4 linked regions of the Schizosaccharomyces pombe genome follow. Changing the gene in region 1 together with any one later gene gives a genetic interaction. Each region holds a gene or a part of one and is shown in the gene's direction. Other genes may lie near its edges. The genes, in order: ppk30, gpd3, SPOM_SPCC569.04 and ubp3.

Region 1 (6,090 bases):
AAGGCAAATCTTCAGTTTCCTCCTTTTTTACCGGAGACGTCCTATTTGGATTCCATACAGGCACATTTTCCACTATTCCACCGATCGCTTTGGCAGCAGCAACACGTGTATCCCAGTTTTTAGATTTCAAGTATGGGACGACTCGTCCCAATAGATTGTAAAGCTCATCAGGATGAACTTTCTGTATATCTCCAATTTGTTTAGCAGCTGTCTCTCGAACGACAGAAGTAGAGCCGCTATCAAGCAATACAACCAACCGGTCGAGGCGTGTTGTCATATGTGAAATTAAAGAAAAAGAAGCTTTTCCCAAAAGATCAGTTTAATTACTCACTTAATATGAGGCTCAAATTACACCTCCCAAATATAAAATTAACAAACAAACAAAAAAGAAAACAGTGCTTAAAAATAATAATAATAACACGAAGGATTCAAATAAAAAACCAGGATCTCTATAATTGAAAATAAAGGTTTGTTTACAGCTAGCTGTAGACTGATGATGAGCGTAGTACCTGTCAATAAACACGTCGGTAACCAAATTTTTTATCACTATACTAAAAAACCCTTATTGAATTCAACCGTGGAAATAATAGAGCATAATTCTTTTAATGTTTACTAATTTGCCGCTTTCAATGGCTGCAAAAGCCATCGTCAGCTGGGAGGCTGGTGGTACTTATGCGATTTGAGAAGCCATCAAAACGTGAAAAAAGCTGGCAAACCCTAACCCACACATTTACTTATATGAGTAGTTGCAAATTTTATAATGCAATTTGACAAAAAATATTGAAATGAACATGCTTATACATTTATACTGTGTACTTAATTGTAAAAATGTTATGACCCACTAGTCATATGTTATGTCTATGTATTTTGCAACCTTGGAATGATTAGTTCAAAGAAAGCAAACAACGTATTCTCGCATCGCGCTAAGCATCGTTACTTTGCATTATTATCAATTTGCTTATCATTTTGCTTATTAAGTATAGAACAAATAAAATTCTTATGAAATTTCTCGTATTCTAAAAAATGAATTAATTCCCGCTTTAAACAAGATTTAACACCGTTTAAAGTTCCTAAAAACGGAACATTGCAATTGCGTTCTTTGAAGGATAGTGATGGTTTTCGGTAAATATTATTCTTATTGTGCACCCTACACAGATTGACAAATAATAAAAATAATCAAGTACGATAATGATGCTTCTGATAATTGGTGATTCGACGAAGTTTACCAATTGTCCAAATTACCAGCGTCTGCTAAGCTTTTGCGCATGAAAGATGTGTTACGAATATTACAAGTGAATACAAGAAAAAGAGTGTTTCTAAAGAAGAGTAGGGTTAATGAATAGTTGCAGTCTATTATCGTTTTGAACGCAGAGTTGTTTAGTAGAAAACAAAAAAAAAAAGTTTACATATTCGGTAAAAAAATGTATGGATGCTATGGGCACCAATAGTATGCATAAGGTTAACTCTTTGTATTGCAGCTAAAGATGTAGTGAGGACGTCAATATTTGCAATTCCGCATCTGAACACAGGAAGTCTAGCAAACTCTTAAAGACTTTTTATTATAAACCAAAAATGAGTGAGAATGTTTTTCTTATTTTTATGTTTAAAAAGTAAAAACAAAAAAACTCTTGAAATATTAACCTTTAAACACATAAAGTATATACTACTTGTATAGAAAACGTAATGTTCCCTATCACTTTTACAGTTAAAAAATGTTGAATCAAAATTTGAATATGATAGTAATACCACTAAAAACTTAATGTTAACAAACAACTACTTTTAATTGATGAATTTACTTTTATAAATTGCTATTTGATGCTATTATGTTTTCATTATAATATGTTTTACGGATTGATCGGTAAGTTGCGATACACGGTATGTTAGATTTTCATGAACCGATTTAGTGTCATTTCGCTTACTCGTTATCCGAACCGTTTCCGCATCAAGCTGATATTTACCATAACAAGACCTCACGGTTAAGTCGCTATCTCCGTTGCCTCCCTTACTGACAGACCCAAAACGCACTTGTCAAGTTGGGGCTTACTCTTCCATTGTGAGTTTTGTTCTTTCTCCTTTGCAATTAATTGAAAGTATTAATCGCTAGTTAAGCTATAAAGGTTTTAATTACCCAACGTTGTGAAGAGTAACCAAACGTACTTTGTGAAATTTCATTTAATAGAAAACCGGTTGCTTCAATTTGTATATTCTTCTTTTGTACAAAATTACCTTTCATTTCTCATTTTTAATTGCATCAATTAAGGTTCCTAATTGTTTGTTTGGAATTCCATTATTGTTCTAATTGCATATGACAGAAGTCTACTCGAAAGCACCGGCTACCGTAGGCCAAGTCAAATTATCAAACAATGGAACTTCTAATAAAGCCTACTCAGTTCCGAAATCTCCAGCTCCGGTAAGGACTGATTTGTTTAGTAAGATTCCAGCTGGTACTAAAATTCAAGTTGGCTCACACAGTGTCATTATCCAGCGCTACCTCAGTGAAGGCGGATTTTCTCATGTTTATCTTGCTTTATTGGAAAATGAGAAACCCTTTGTTTTAAAACGTATATATGTCCCTGATAAAACTGCTTTACAACTTGTTCATGGAGAAATTGAGACGATGAAGCGGCTAAAAGGTCATCGTCATATAGTTAATTATATCGATTCAAGTGCACTTTATTCCAAATCAGAAAATCGTTATGAAGTCTACTTGCTTATGGAGTTTTGTGCTGGTGGTGGTCTGATTGACTTTATGAATACTCGGTTGCAACATCGGTTAACTGAAGGCGAAATATTAAAAATTCTAGCAGACGTTTGTGATGCTGTAGCCGCTATGCACTACTTAGATCCCCCTTTAATCCATAGAGATTTAAAAATTGAAAATGTTTTGTTGGTGGCTCCGAATTCTTACAAGCTTTGTGATTTTGGAAGTGCATGTGAACCATTGGCCCCAGCTACAACGCCCGACACAATAATGTTTTTAGAGCAAAATATTGCTGCTTATACTACACCCCAGTACCGAGCTCCTGAAATGATTGATATTAATAGAAGGCAAGGAATAGACGAAAAAAGTGATATATGGGCTATTGGTGTTCTTGCATATAAGCTATGCTATTATACAACACCTTTTGAACAGGTTGGTAATAGTGCAATACTTAAGGCTTCTTTCTCTTTTCCACCCTTTCCACGATATAGTGATAGGATGAAGCGTTTCATAGCCACATGCCTTCAAGAACAACCTTCCCATCGTCCAAATATTTACCAAACTTTGAAAGAAATTATGGAAATGCAAGGTACACCTCTGAAACTTCCTGATGTATATGGTGGGGTCAATGCCTCAACTTACAATCCTCCAAGAGCTCCTCTTCAGCGAACTCCTTCAGGAAGCCTTACTCCGCTGAGTTCTCGTCCAGCACATACGTCTCTTCCTCCTATTCCAACTGTGCAAACGACTTCTTCAAATGTACCCCCGGTGAATCGCCCATCTTTAAAGTCAAAATCTCCTTCTGTTTCTAACATCCTTTCAAATCAGTTAAGTCCTATTTCTTCTGCTAACAATGATGTGATGGCGCGGTTGCAACCAAAATCTCCAATCCCTGCAACAAAAAGCTACTCTGCAACAATTCAGACGCCCCGTTCTCCTTCTTTACGAAGGGCTGATAGCACATCTCATATTATAAAAGTTCCTCATTTACCCGACACATCTGTGAAAACTGCTAAAACCGGGGCATCTGAAATTGATGTTCTTAGTCGGTATCCTAGCGTGGAAGAAATTGATAAAATTACTGACAAAATTGAGGTTAGTAAACCACTTCGCAACAGTGGGCCTCTAGCTTTCAAGCCTTTTGAAAAGATTTCTGCGAACAAACAGACTGATTTATTACAGAATAAACCTGAAGCCCTCCTAGATTTAGAGAATCGGTTTTTACCTAAACCATCTCCTAAACCATCCGAATTCAGTTCGTCTGTGGGATCTAAGCAAAACTTGTCAATGGATATTCCTTCAGTTCAAAATGTTTCGACAAAACAGAAGTCTACAAATGACACAGATAATAGCAAATTGAAAATAAATAAGCCTTTAACTGGGGGATATGCACCTCTACCATCACGTCCGAATCGAATGAATCATAGCGTTTTAAATGAAAAATCTAACAAGGAGTTTGTACGAGGACCAAGAGTACTTCCGCCAATAGAAGTTTCTTCCTCTAAGATGGCTGGACTGGATATTAGAAAAGAGCCTTTTACACCTGCTGTTCCTAGCGCAAAATCAGGTTTAAAGAAAGACCAATCTAGTGAGGTTGCAAATAAAGATGTTGTATCGAAAAACAAGGATAACATAGCTATACTGGCTGATAGAGAAGCACGTCCCCAACTCCTTCTTGACGATAACAATGACTCTAGCTCCTCCTCGAGCGAGCATCTCATATCGTTTAATAATCATACGGGAAACAAAATATTATCAAGGCAGACAACATCATCAAGCATCGATAGTAATAATGTTCAATCGAATATCGAGTTTTTGAAAGGATTGAATGCTACTCATGCTCGTTCAACATCTCAGGTATCGCATACACAAAGATTACAGCAGTCAATTTCAACCAGCTTAGAAAGAGTTAAGAGCAATACCAAAAAGGAGTCTAATAGTCCTCGTCAGGTGTCTAAATTGAAGCGCCCCATCGGTGCTTCTAATAAAATTCTCTCTGGTAAATTCGGTGAAGCATTCAAAAAGTTTGAGTTTGGTGGGGAGAAGATGTCACGGAGACGCAAAAGTGAAACTAAAAAGAATTTAGTATCGATTTTACCTGACACTGAGGTCGACGAGTATCCTAAGGCTTCAAATGAATGGATAGTTGAAAGTGAAGAACTTCCCCAAGTACATGAAACTATCAATCAGTATCGAAAGTCTTGTGAAACACAAAGATCACGTAAATCGCATGAAGGAAGCAATGATCTAGAACGTCAACCATCTTCGCCAGATACTGTGCATCCGGGAATCAAGCGATCTCACTTTATTCGAGAGCGTGTGAAACAATTACTCTCTGATGCTAATAAACACCATCAATCACCATCTGACTCAGAAACAGATAGAACACCTGATTCGAGTTCTATTCATTTACCACACATTGAGCGTCTAAACCTTTTCCATACCAAATCTGAAAGCTTGGAGTAACACTAGCATTCAGTATTTGTTTAAATCGTACTTAATTTCTCGGTTGCATTAGATACCAAAGCATATTTGTCTTCTATTTTTGGACGTGGAGTACTCTCTTTTTATTTTGTCCGCTGATAACTTCTTTATGAACTTAATGATTTATTTTTAACAAAAAAAAAAAAAAAGATTTTATATACTACTAATCAACTACTTGTTGTAAGTATTGTTTATTATATTGTCTTATTCAATATTCATCAACCACTAAACGAATGCTACTTGCATGTTCCGAGGTTCAACAGTCAGTTTTTACTATTTTATATTATAACTTTGTTCTTTGGCCACCAATTTGTAAATAAAAAGAACTTGTGCTTTCTATGCACTTTGTTGATTCAAATTAAAGAATTAAAAATTGCCTTAAACCATAAACATTTTTAATATAACATATATATATATATATATATATAGTAACATAGATACTGTTCTGTAAATTTATCATAACTTCCAGGTGGGTAGCGATCATCGCATTGCGCAAATGGATTTGAAGTTTCGCTAGACTATGTAATGAGCGTAATCCACCAAACTTAACAATTATAAAATTCAACAATCATTCGGTTTCAATGGAATTACGCTTCAAATGCTTGCGCAAACGATAGATAAAAGATGCTTTTTTCTTTAAATTATTTTCCGTATTGTCAGTCGCATCATCGTTGCTGCATACATTAATGTCTGTAGGGTTTGGAGATTCATTTGTTGATGAATTTACGTTTGAAGAATCGTTGTCCGTCACACCGTCCTCATTTTCTTCAGATTTTTCAACACCCTTTGAGTTATTAGGAAGTAAAAATGCTGGTAATGAATTTGCTTCGCTCTGACTTGAAAATGCAGCTATTGGGCTAGTGGCAGCATCAAGATTTCGATGCTTAGAACACGGGTCAAATGGG
Region 2 (4,734 bases), 2.0 Mb from region 1:
CGAAAAAAAAAGAGTCTGGAATAAAATTTGAAGAAGAGAAGAAATACAGTAGGTGGGAGTGCAATGAATTGAATTGGAAGCGAGGAAGCGAACAAAATCGATGGATAACAAGTGAATGAACAACAAAGTGAATTTAGTTTAAAGTCAATTGCTTTGTTGAAAATCAATTTCCTCTGTTTTATCAAGTGTGCGAAGGACAAAGGGAGTAAGAAAGATTCAAAAAAAAAAAAGAAAAGAAAAAGAGGAATTCCTTTTATGAGACATCCAGTTTGTTTGCGAGAACGCCAAGAACTCAAGCGAATATGGAGAGACGACGGTGAAACACGGTATGTTGCATAGTGTAGTGCGGGGTGGATTGCAAGGAGAATGGGTAAATTAGCAAGCGAGCTGGACCCCATTACTGTGATGCATGAGGTAACGCAATGTGCTAAAATGTTTTGGAAAGAATGACACTCTACGTTAGGATAGTGCACGTTGTTGACACTGCTCGTTATGGAGGACAAGGAAGAAACTAGTTCGGCCGTTTGAAGGGAATGGGAATGGGAATTGAATGAAGAAAGAATGGATTGAAGTAGTCAATTGATTAAAAACTCATATTTTTTTGTGTTACTCATTGACCTTTATGAAGACAACAATTCTGGGTTTCCATTGCTTACAGTGTGTTTCCATAGAGCAAAGTTCTTTTTTGATGGCTTTGTTTTTACGTTGCATTACTGTGTTATTCCTCACTCTCTGTATGTGAGTCTCGCGCTGTTTCAGCTGCTTCCTCCTGCTTCCTTCGGTTCCTTTTCCTTTCTTATCGGACGGTGGCCCGCCAAAATTAATTTCGCCTACATAAAAAGTGACGCAATAGAAACTCTCGGAACCAGTATGGACTTGAGGATGAGCGCATCCCGGACCTTGAAAGGATCCTCGTCGATGGTTGATTCGTCAGCTCATTCACATAAGGTTTCTCTAGAAGGTGAATTAGGGTTCTTTCAATCCGAATCCGCCAACCATCACAAGACCTTGTAACCGCCCCGGAAACTCAAATTGTCCCAACTGCCGATCAATTTTTTCCGAAGAAACAGCTTACGATTAACCGAAGGAACGTCCTGGGCAGTCAAGCGCAGAGGAACATAGTGCAAAGCGTCGTAGTTCAGTATAGTCGGACAGCAGAGTATTGTTGAACTCGATAAAGTAGGGGGGGAGAGAGAGAGAGAAAAAGGAGTGGAAAGTGGTAGTAGGTAAATGAGAGATGTCAATAGAAAGCAAAAACTTTATACAATAACAATCTCAACATCAACGATTTTCCTTTTCCAACTGAATCTCTTTTCCAAACTGTGCACTGTAAACAATTGTTCTATATCTTCTCCTTGTTATTCTATGTCTTCTCCTTCATGTTCCACGTCTAACCCGCTCCCTTCCTACCTTTTCGCTACCCTCCTACCCTCCTACCCTCCTCCATCCTCCCTCACAAACAGATGATGTTAACGAGACTTTGCACCTCGTTATTCCCGAGGAGCCGCTGGGATGCCATGAGCCTTGCTAATAGCCCTGTTAGCACGGTCAAACAAAATCATGCAATTCAATGCAAGAATCGTCAGCCTAACAACAGCTAACTGGGCCAACCCTCTAAACATTCCATTCCATCTAGGCATTGGAAACGCCATTCCAAGGGCGGATTGATGGATGATGGAAGGGACGAGACTGACACACACAGCAGATATACTCGATGACTATTAGTGAAGTGAGTCGATGAATAGTGAAGTAAATGAACATTTTTATAGAATCAATAGAAATGGATTGAATCCAATTGCATTCGAAATTTCACAGTTGACTTGGATTTACCACTTGTCTCATTTCTCCCACTTGTCCTCTTGATTACTATGCTATGCTATGCTATGCTATTCTCTTCTCTTCTTCTTTCCTCTACACTCATTGTTTACATTTCTTTTTCTTTTCCACCGCCATCCCAACTCATCCATTCCATGCCATTCCATCCTTGCCTCTCTCGTTCCTGTCAAGCGAGGCGAGGGAAAGGTCAACGCAATGCGTCGATTGTTGTATGATTATGAGCCAAAAATATTCGCATGGGAAGTTATCTAGAAGGCCGCTAATTTCATTATCCGATCTGCCAAGTACCGAACACGGAAATCGCCGCTTACGATACCGTCGTTGGCATGACAACTCTAGCGTAAACACATACAATATAAATAGGAGTGGTAGGCCAGTCTGCTTCTTTGTAGTATCAAGAAATCAGCAATAGTACTTGTTTGGTTTTGAGAAATAGCAATCGAATTAATTAGGTATGTGATGCGCTGTGGCATTGGCAAAGCATTGGCTTGGTGAGACATGTGACATGTGTCAAACACCTGCCAAGAGGGAAAAATAGATTGAGGAAAAGGAAGGGATATTTTCTTTTGATATTCTCTTTTAGTTGAAAAAGATGGATTTTGAGCGATGAATTGAAATGAAAATGGTCAGTGAGATTGCCAAGAGAAGAGGCTCTCTGATTTTACTTGACATGACGAAAACATGTCATATCCAGTATGGTGAAATTGTACAACGAAGTCGTGATAAGATTCGTTAGTTTCCGTTTCTTTCGGTAAAGAAGGCTTTATTTTTCGCTTGACGGCAGTTTGGTCAGAAATTAAAATAGACTTGCCGAAAGCGACAAAGCTGCTGTTTTTAGTATACTTTCTTTTCTATTCTTCTCTCAATAATGATATCTTTTCTTTTAATGACGCTCATCGTTTCTTCTTCTTCTTCTCTTCGCTTTCTTCCCTCTCTCGCTTCTTTTTGCCTTTTTCTCTCCTCTTTGATCTCTTCTTCTTACTAACTCTTTTCAGATAACAATGGCAATTCCTAAAGTTGGTATCAACGGTTTCGGTCGTATTGGCCGTATCGTCCTCCGTAACGCCATCCTCACTGGCAAGATCCAAGTTGTCGCTGTCAACGATCCTTTCATCGATCTTGACTACATGGCATATATGTTCAAGTACGACTCTACCCACGGTCGCTTTGAGGGCTCCGTTGAGACCAAGGGTGGCAAGCTTGTCATCGACGGTCACTCCATCGATGTCCACAACGAGCGTGACCCCGCCAACATCAAGTGGTCTGCCTCTGGTGCTGAGTACGTTATTGAGTCCACTGGTGTCTTCACTACCAAGGAGACTGCCTCTGCTCACTTGAAGGGTGGTGCCAAGCGTGTCATCATCTCTGCTCCTTCCAAGGATGCTCCCATGTTCGTCGTCGGTGTTAACTTGGAGAAGTTCAACCCCTCCGAGAAGGTTATCTCCAACGCCTCTTGCACCACCAACTGTTTGGCTCCCCTTGCCAAGGTCATCAACGACACCTTCGGTATTGAAGAGGGTCTCATGACCACTGTTCACGCTACCACTGCCACCCAAAAGACCGTTGACGGTCCCTCTAAGAAGGACTGGCGTGGTGGTCGTGGCGCCAGCGCCAACATCATCCCCTCCTCCACTGGTGCCGCCAAGGCCGTCGGTAAGGTTATTCCCGCTCTTAACGGTAAGCTTACCGGTATGGCTTTCCGTGTCCCTACCCCCGATGTTTCCGTTGTTGACTTGACCGTCAAGTTGGCCAAGCCTACCAACTACGAGGACATCAAGGCTGCTATCAAGGCTGCCTCTGAGGGTCCCATGAAGGGTGTGTTGGGTTACACCGAGGACTCTGTTGTCTCCACCGACTTCTGTGGTGACAACCACTCCTCCATCTTCGATGCCTCTGCCGGTATCCAACTTTCTCCTCAATTCGTCAAGCTCGTCTCTTGGTACGATAACGAATGGGGTTACTCCCACCGTGTTGTTGACTTGGTTGCCTACACTGCTTCCAAGGATTAGATTGCTTCTTTCGATTTATTCCGTCGTCAATCTATATCTCTCTAATCAGCCGTTGTTAAACTCCAAGCTATTCAACTGAACATGCGTTCGGTTTTGGGGGGTCTTACATATGTGCGAACTTTTGGTTTTTTATTCTTATGCTTGTTTTCCCCCTTTTCCTTTTCTGGGGTTTGCTACGATAATGATAGACATGTATGAGATTTTCCTCTTTTATTCCACGTTATCATTTTGATTGCGCTCCTAGGGCGATCTCTATAGCTGACGACCTTTCTACGAAATAGATTAAGATATAATTTTAAATGAATTGTTTTTTCTTCACTTGTTTTTAATGTGTAAAAAATCCGTAAAGTATGTGGTGTATGAAAATTTTGATTTGAAATGTGGTAGTTTATTGGAGGTAAAAAAGGTAGACTGATTTATAAAGCATTATATAGTTATCATAGTTGCTTGTTAGCATTCTATTACCGTTTGCATTTGAGATAATTGTTTTCGTCTTGATGATAGATATTCGCTAAGATGTTTCCATAAACTTGGCCCACGCTTTTTTGGGTGAAGTAAATAATTTTTCAGTCCTTTTGAGGGCCTCTGCTGCCTATCTTTACTGCCCCTATTTGCAAGTTTCTAGAATGGAAGTGTAAGTCAAACGATAAGAAAAATTATATATTAATAGATAGCAATTTAAATTTAGCATTTTCATTCTTAGTGTTCGTTCACTCCACTTTCCAGATCAATCTCAGACCATCAAGTATGATGATGAAAGCGAGTGTTCCATTTAGGCGGTTCTCGCAACTCTTAATGTTTGATACTTAGAGCTGTTTGTGCTTCAGAAAATTATTCAAAAAATTTCATGCTTGCATTTGATTCTTTTCTGGATAACAGCTAATCCTGT
Region 3 (3,254 bases), on another chromosome or scaffold:
AAAATGGTTTTCTCCCCTGTTATAAAACCTTGAGATATTTTATCTATCGAACTCATCCTTTACATCTTGACTGATAAGGGTTCCAAAATCATTTCAACTGTATCATGAACCAACGAGGTATTCGGTTTTATTCGTATCACATTTGCAATGCCCGTTCGGTAAAAGTCGATTTCATAATGTTAATAAAGAAAGGAAGCCCAAAACTCACTTTTGAGCTGAATCGCGCCTTTTTCGTACTTCTTCATACTTCGTTTATACAAAAAACGAATTACTAGTATAAATAAGCTTGTACTTGATGTTAATCCTCACCATCGTATTGAACGTGAAGTTTATGTTTAAGTAACACATGGAAAAGAAAATAAGCGATTTAAGCAAGCTATCGTCCATCAAGATAATGTCAAAAAAAAAAACTTGGACTTTGATTTCGCATAACAGTTAGAACCCTAAACAAATAAACATGGAAATAAATACCAATATGTCTTTTATTGCAAAAAACAGTCTCTAGATTTGCATGCTCTTTAATCATTGCTTTCCGGACATTATTTACTAGATTTTAGTTTCTTACACTCAAAATCCTTTTGTATCTTTCATTTTCTTCCTAATAAAAATGAGGTTGTTGATTAAAAATGTGTTTGAGCAATTAAAAAATAGATAGCTATCGTTAAAATTTCCGTAAGAGTGTGTCACCATTTCACTCGGTAGTACTTTGTGAAGATGTTTCCAATTTAGAAAATTTCATTTAGGCTACTCAACTTATACAAGCAGTCTCCTTATTTGTACTGCAACAATAATGAAAATTATAACATCGAGCCTAATTAATGATTGACAATGTTTTGTTTGTGTTAAAATTAATAGGAAATAAATTGAAGTTGATGTACACAATAAAGATTCGCCTAGTTTTTTTAGAGTGTTTTCTAAACTTTTAATTCTTTTTTTAAAAAAAATACAAACAAATTTATAAGGAACTCATTTATAACTATTGAAATAATTAAGAAGCGCAATAAATCGTATTTAATTAGTAGTATTAAATTTAATTCAAATAAATTTTTTCAAAGTTCAACCTTGCAAAAATTAATTAGACATCCACCCTATATGCGATATTCGCATAAATCAACCATTGAGCTACTACCTCTTAGTACGTTCAACCGATTAATGGTGTTAAACATATTTTGGGGTCCATCATAGTGTTTTAGCAGTTTCTATCTCATATCATTAGATAGCTACTCAAAGTTTAAATTCATATATCTGAAGTACAAATTTTGTAGTGATTATCTGGCTTTTTAAAGAAATAAAATATTTAAGTGTATGAAAACAAGCTATTCGCTTTTCTGTTGATCAATATTCAGTTATAGAATCATAAATAGAAATTTGACAGACTTAAAGGTATTTTCAATCAGAATTTTACGTGTAGCACGACTGATTATACTCAATGTTCTGTCATCCCAAAATATAACGACAACATTTTGGATGAAAAGGTAGCCAAATATATATTATTCATGCTCAAAGTTATCTCATCTTGTCTAAATGCATACACCATCAGATAATCTCTTTGGTATTATAATCTCTTTTCTTCTTTTAAAGAATTTAGAGCTACTATACAGTATATACACCAAACATTAATTTCAATTGCATGCCGTAATTCTTTATATCGTGTTCCTCGATTCTGTGTATACCGATTGACATATGCAAGACAATCGAAATCATTATTATTTACTATAGTACTTATAACTAATTTAATTCAAATTTCACTTATATGGGATTTTAGTTCGTTCATTATTTATTCAGGCAGATGTCAGAAGGAATTTCGGCGTGGATGTCAACTTCGTACTACAAATAATCCTTTAGAAGACTTTATACCTTTCAAAAAAAAGGGATTGAGAAAACTGAACATTCTGTTTTACCTGGCTTTGATAAAATAATCGAAAAGTGTATGAGAAATATATTAAAGTTGATAGGTTTCAATTTCAAAGGAAGCCATTAAAGTCTTTGGTGATATTTACTGATGTTGTTAAAGAAAGGGATAGTACTTGTGATTTTTGTGGGACGTATTTTGAAGACTTGAGAATGTCTACTTCTTATCTATGTGATGAAAACAGAAAAGGTGAAAATCGTAAAGTTGAAATACAAGAACTAGTTCCATACTTATATTCAGTCTTACTGAGAGGAGTTCCTTCACGCCCTGTATTTGACAGTCGCTTGAAGTTCGCTGTCAAAGTGCCTGTCTACCCCAAAAGGCCTTTGTACACAACAGACACTCGTACTCATTACTATTTGAAGAATTGCTTTCGAATTCTTGAATGGGAAATTGTTTCTCATGTGGGAGGGAACGAATTGTTGATAAATCGTAGAGTTATTGACGTGAATAATTTTTTTATATGCCAGGATGCAAACTCGGGCCCATTCTGTACTGCATGGAGATTTACTCATTAAAGAAACAGAAAAAAGATTCCACACAATTTCCTATGTTTGACGAGTTTTTAAAAGTCAAAACCAAGCATCATAGTTTGAGATTGATATTGAAGGCGGATGAAGATAAGTGTACTCCTTGGCATACGAGCACTAACAGAATACTTAATGATCCTGAAAAATATTTGGAAAATGTTGACAATAATAACAAAGAGACTTCGTTATACGAATATAGGAAAACTTTGAATATTTGTAAAGTCCATCCTCATTTCAACTTTCAATTGGTAGGTCAATTAAGAATGCTTAATCAAACGAAGGAGATGTTTAAATAATTTATTTGATTGTTAAGACATAGCAAAAGGTTCAGATGTAAAACAGGAGAAAACAAAAAATAATCTATATATTTTTGTCTAGTCCAAATACAAAAACCTATATTGGGCCGGTTATGCTTGCCCTTTTTAATGGTAGTAACAATTCCCATTTTCAAATTTGACAAATAGACAAAGTTTAACAGAAAATTGTGAAATCAGCTAAATTCCTTTTAGGAAATAAAGAAGTTGGTAACAATAAAAGTTGTCCTTTGCTAAACCTACAAAGGATCAACACTATTTTCAACCGGAAATTTAAGCAGTTATAATGTAAAAAAATTTAATATTTCTTTTTTATAAAGGTGTTCTTCAATTTTAAATCCATATAATTTACTTATTTTTTTAATTTTGTTAAGCTGAGACATTGTTCCACAATAACAGTACTTCAATACCATCCAATAATCGTGAATATGAGTTCGAATAGAGATTTGAACCTTTATGTATAACAAAAGGTTAATTCATATTGAGCGTAAAAGTTTT
Region 4 (4,662 bases), 1.1 Mb from region 1:
TTGGGCTAATTCTCGTCGCTGGGTTTTTAAAGTATTGGTACGAATTGTGACAGGACGAGGCATTTCATTTGCCTCAAAAAACTCAACAGCCTCAGAAACTGAAAATAATTCAAATAACTTCTCAGCAAGAAAGCGAGAATAACCGTAATACGCACATATATCATTTAAGAGTTGATCAACATATTCAGAACGATTGCGTCCAGGTTCACACAAATTTTTAAAATCATTCAAAACACGGACTATTTCCTGTATCCGCAATTGAATTTGGCTCAAATCCTGTGGAAGAGTAGATATTGGTTGGCTATCGGTAAAACCATCAATAGGTGGAAGAACAGTAGGAGCCTCAGGATGTATGTTGGTATGCAATTCTTCCTCGGCTTCTTTTTCCTCTAATTCCGCTTCCTCATCAAGTTTGCGAGACATGGCTTCCATATTCGCAAGTTCCAAATCCTCTTCATCTCCAGAATCATCGCTAAACATAGGCTTAACCTCATGCTCTTCATCCGAATCAAAAACAGAATCTTCTTCCTCCCCTTCACATTCTTTAGCCTCATCATCGATAAACTCGTCAGCAAATGTTTGGGGTTCCTCGTCATGTTCCAAGTCTGATAAAGTTTCAGCCTCTTCAAATTCGTCTGCATCAATAAGATCTTTTTCATTCTCAGAATCCGAATTTTCAAACAAAGATTTCTTTTCTTCTGCTAATTGGCGTTTCCGAGAATTTTGTGGTTTTTCTTTTGAATGCTTTCTCTTTTTTGCATTTTCTGTCACTTTATGAGAAGAATTATGATTTTCCTCTAAAGTTGGGGGAATTCCTTGCTTAGACTTCTGTTTTCTTCCCATCTTTTATGGAAAATATGTGATGAAGTCCAAAAACGTTTATTTGGGCTGAGGAAAAATTTTGGCACTGGCATTCTTTCAGTCCAACCTCCACTATTCACATCGCTGAGTTTTGTTAAAAACTTTTACGAAAGATAAAGAACATTAAATTTTTTCAAGCAATACTACACTACGCTATGACATACTATGTTGCGTATCACTATATGCCATATGTTTAAATACTTAAGATCCGTTTATTGATACACGAGGATAAACTATCCGTCTATCTACATAGATGCAACGTTGATAGCAACTTATAGAAATATTATTAATAGAGCTACAGTTGAACTGAGGAACGAGGTACAGTTCCTAGCTGTATCGATGATCGATACTAATAGCTTCCTATAAACATTGTCAGTTAAAAATATACTGCATCCCGCTATATTGTAGATCGCAAGAGAAAATTGCCGCAGTTCTATGTATCGTTAAACAGATATTCAAACTGCATTGCTGAAACACAAAAAGATATACCGCATAGCAACAGCATAGTTAACATTATTAAAAATTCACGACTATTGTTATATTTATCTTTTTTAAAATTTGCTACGTACTTTACTGCTCAGCTTACTTAAAAAAGTCACTTAATTTACTCGTTCATCTTACTTCACCTCCTTGACAATTAATCATTTCAATTATGATCACATTAAGACTTGGTTAACGATTGAATTTGCTGCGGCGTAAAATGAGTGACAATATATATTCAAGACCTATATATAGTTCACACAACAGCAGAATATCGAATTTTAAAATTTACTATTTACTTTTCTCTTTTCGTATCACTTTTGTGGTTTAAGATACATATAGTGGTACTTAGATATGTAAATATACCGTATTCTCTAAAAATAACTAAAGATGGGCATGGACATTCAATAATTAATAATAAAAAAGAACAACTAAAAATAATTAGGAATTTGAGTTAGGCGGTCAAGTGTTTACAGTGGAATATCACCATAATACACTTGGTGGAATACGAAGAATTAACGAGGTATAGTGTATATTAAAAAAAGTTTTGGACAGTCTTTTGAAGAGCAAAGCGAACGACAGCCAACCATCAAATTAGTAAACAAGAGTTCAATCTTGCTAGAGTGTGCGTATTTCCATGCGAGATTTGACCTCTGCAACGGACAGCGCGTCTTTGGAAAGTGATTCGTCACGAAATCAATTTATTATCAATTCACTGGTATGTTTTATTAAAATTGTGATTATACTAACGTTTAGCTACCATGGTACTCATGCTCTGAACATGAATTTCCTCATCGAAAGGCTAGAAAAAGGCGTTCGCCTAAGAATTTAGATTGGTCGGTTTCGGTGCAAATGCCTCTGGTCACATCAAAGACGAAAGAGTCTGAAAAATCGCCTAAATCGTGGTCTGCAATTGCGAAAAAGCATGTTCAAGGAGACTCTCCTGTTAAAAAATCACATTCTGTTCCGGTACCGTCTGACAGGTCTGAGAAAAAAAGTTTCAATTCATCCCTTGGTGAATTGATCGAAACATATTCTCCATCCCTCGATGCACCCCGTCCTATACAGCCTCGGGGTTTTATAAATACCGGAAATATATGTTTTATGAACTCTATTTTACAGGCACTAATGTATTGTGTTCCATTTTATAATTTACTTAAGCAAATTAACCGGATGGTTCCGTATAATTTTGAACGTACAACACCTCTTATTGAATCGTTGACAATGCTTTCTAGGGATTTTAGAGAATATTCTGAGAAATTTGATTTACAAGGAGATTCTATTTTGCCAGAAGTGGTATATTCAGCTACTAAGGGGAATCCTCGATTTGAAATGTTGCAGACCGGCGAACAGGAGGATGCTGAGGAGTTTTTGAATTTGTTTCTTGACGAATTACATGAAGAATTCGTGCGTGAACGTAGACATTATTTATTAAAAAATGACGAAAGAAATCCAAAATCTGATATCAAAATTTCAAATGGTATCAAGTCTGGTTTAGATAGTTTTGATGATCAATCTTCTGTAGAAGCTAGTGGCTGGACCGAAGTTGGTAAAAATAAAAAGCCAGTAATTGCTAGATCTGCTACTGTTGAAAGGTCTCCTATAAGCCAAATTTTTGGTGGTCAGCTGCGCTCTACCTTAAGGGTTCCGAGTGCAAGAGATTCTGTTTTGTTAGAACCGTTTCAACCTCTGCAACTCGACATTCAAGCAGAAGATATACATTCAGTTATCGATGCGTTGGAGCATATGACCGCCCCTGAAATTTTACCGGAATGGCATTCGTCGAAAGGAAATGTTACTGCTACCAAGCAAATGTATATAGAGTCACTTCCTCCTGTCTTGATTCTTCACCTTAAACGATTCTTTTACGAAGCATCTGGCGGTACACAGAAAAATTATAAGCCTATTGCTTATCCTGCTCGCTTGAGTATTCCACAAAACGTTTTCAGCCCTTCTGTTCGTGGTTCCATACATCCGGAATATGATTTGAATGCAGTGGTTTATCATCACGGTACTTCTGCGTCTGGTGGTCATTATACTGTCGATGTTCAGCAACTTGATAAAAGCGGCTGGTTTCGGATTGATGATACACACATTCACCGCGTACCTATTCATGATGTTGAAAACTCCGAACTTTCCGCTGATCCGAGTCTTAGTAAACTTGGTCACGGCGATCGTGTGGCATACTTACTGTTTTACACACGACGCTCCTAGGTCATCTGGATTCCTTCCTCCCAAAAAAAATTAACCAATAAAAACCTTAATTGTTTTGTGTATTCTTCAATAAACAACTCAAGGATTTGAGCTAAAACTGGGGACTACACTTTTTTATAATTCTTTTTGTTTAAAACGTCGGTTAGAAAATTTTATCATATCTTTTTTACATAATTTTCTCAAAAAGGTTCAGCAATTTTTTATTATTTTTTATTTTATGAACTTTAGCTATTTAAGATTACGTTCCCTCTCAATCCCTTTAAACTAATCGGCTTTATAATACAACCTTTCTAGGAACTTACTCCGAATATACAAGTGAATTTTCATTGCAGCTTTAATGCAGTATATATTTTAAAACAGTACCAAAAGTAGGGTCAAGTGGTTTTTATTTTGCTGTCCTATTAGTAGTAGGTCAAGTCCAGCTTCATAATGTAATATTTGAAGTACTATGGCATCAAGTTTGTCACTTTAAAGCCCATTTCTATAATTTTCATGCAAGCTAAACTCCTTGTTTTAAATAAAAAGATTTGATCGTTTGAGAATCTTGATTCAGCGCATTCTAAAGTACGAATATAAATTACAGTTTTTTTGTTGCATTTATTAAACATTTGGCCCCCACTTGCATACCCCAATTATATCTCTGCGCAGTTAAGCCTATTGTCAACACCACTACCAAATTCTTTTTCCTAATACCTGGCGCGTTGAAATAGGCACTCCTTACTTTTATTAATTAATCATGACATTTTTCAGTGCACTGGGTATGATGAATTTCGTCAAAGTAAAGCTAATCATTAGGTGATATGGCCCATTTGGCTGCTATTTTCTTGCTTTTGCACCGAATGAAAAAATCGAAAACCTGTTCAGGACTATCTCTCAAATCCCATCTTTTGTTTCTGCTTGTTTATGTTACACGTTATTTGAGTATGTGCTGAACTTTTCGAAAAATACTTTCTTTGCTAACTCTTTTTTTTAACAGATCTCTTTTGGAGATACAAAAGCTTGTATTATTTCTTGATGAGGATAGTTTTTATAGCTTCCGAATCCTATATATGCTACTTGATGTTAATGACTTTGCGACCTACATATGACAAACGTCTTGATACTTTT

What was found.
Region 2: mutations in ppk30 (region 1) and gpd3 together harm fitness more than expected from each alone (negative genetic interaction), as found in Schizosaccharomyces pombe (one large-scale study listed by BioGRID).
Region 3: mutations in ppk30 (region 1) and SPOM_SPCC569.04 together harm fitness more than expected from each alone (negative genetic interaction), as found in Schizosaccharomyces pombe (one large-scale study listed by BioGRID).
Region 4: mutations in ppk30 (region 1) and ubp3 together harm fitness less than expected from each alone (positive genetic interaction), as found in Schizosaccharomyces pombe (one large-scale study listed by BioGRID).

Annotation. Positions count from the first base shown.
Region 1 is NC_003423.3:2,625,289-2,631,378, forward strand, and holds ppk30 (Ark1/Prk1 family protein kinase Ppk30), read left to right. Parts: upstream 1-2,010; 5' UTR 2,011-2,305; coding exon 2,306-5,167; 3' UTR 5,168-5,590; downstream 5,591-6,090. Other genes in the region: TATA-binding protein-associated factor Mot1, read right to left, coding at 1-277; pal1 family early clathrin mediated endocytosis factor, meiosis specific Pal2, read right to left, coding at 5,754-6,090.
Region 2 is NC_003423.3:575,894-580,627, forward strand, and holds gpd3 (glyceraldehyde 3-phosphate dehydrogenase Gpd3), read left to right. Parts: upstream 1-2,223; 5' UTR 2,224-2,288; intron 2,289-2,831; 5' UTR 2,832-2,837; coding exon 2,838-3,845; 3' UTR 3,846-4,163; downstream 4,164-4,734.
Region 3 is NC_003421.2:2,426,395-2,429,648, reverse strand, and holds SPOM_SPCC569.04 (uncharacterized protein), read left to right. Parts: upstream 1-2,064; coding exon 2,065-2,430; 3' UTR 2,431-2,571; downstream 2,572-3,254.
Region 4 is NC_003423.3:3,675,735-3,680,396, forward strand, and holds ubp3 (ubiquitin hydrolase Ubp3), read left to right. Parts: upstream 1-1,914; 5' UTR 1,915-1,978; coding exon 1,979-2,059; intron 2,060-2,097; coding exon 2,098-3,555; 3' UTR 3,556-3,927; downstream 3,928-4,662. Other genes in the region: RNA methyltransferase Nop2, read right to left, coding at 1-843; erd2 (HDEL receptor), read left to right, coding at 4,292-4,313, 4,351-4,476, 4,532-4,662.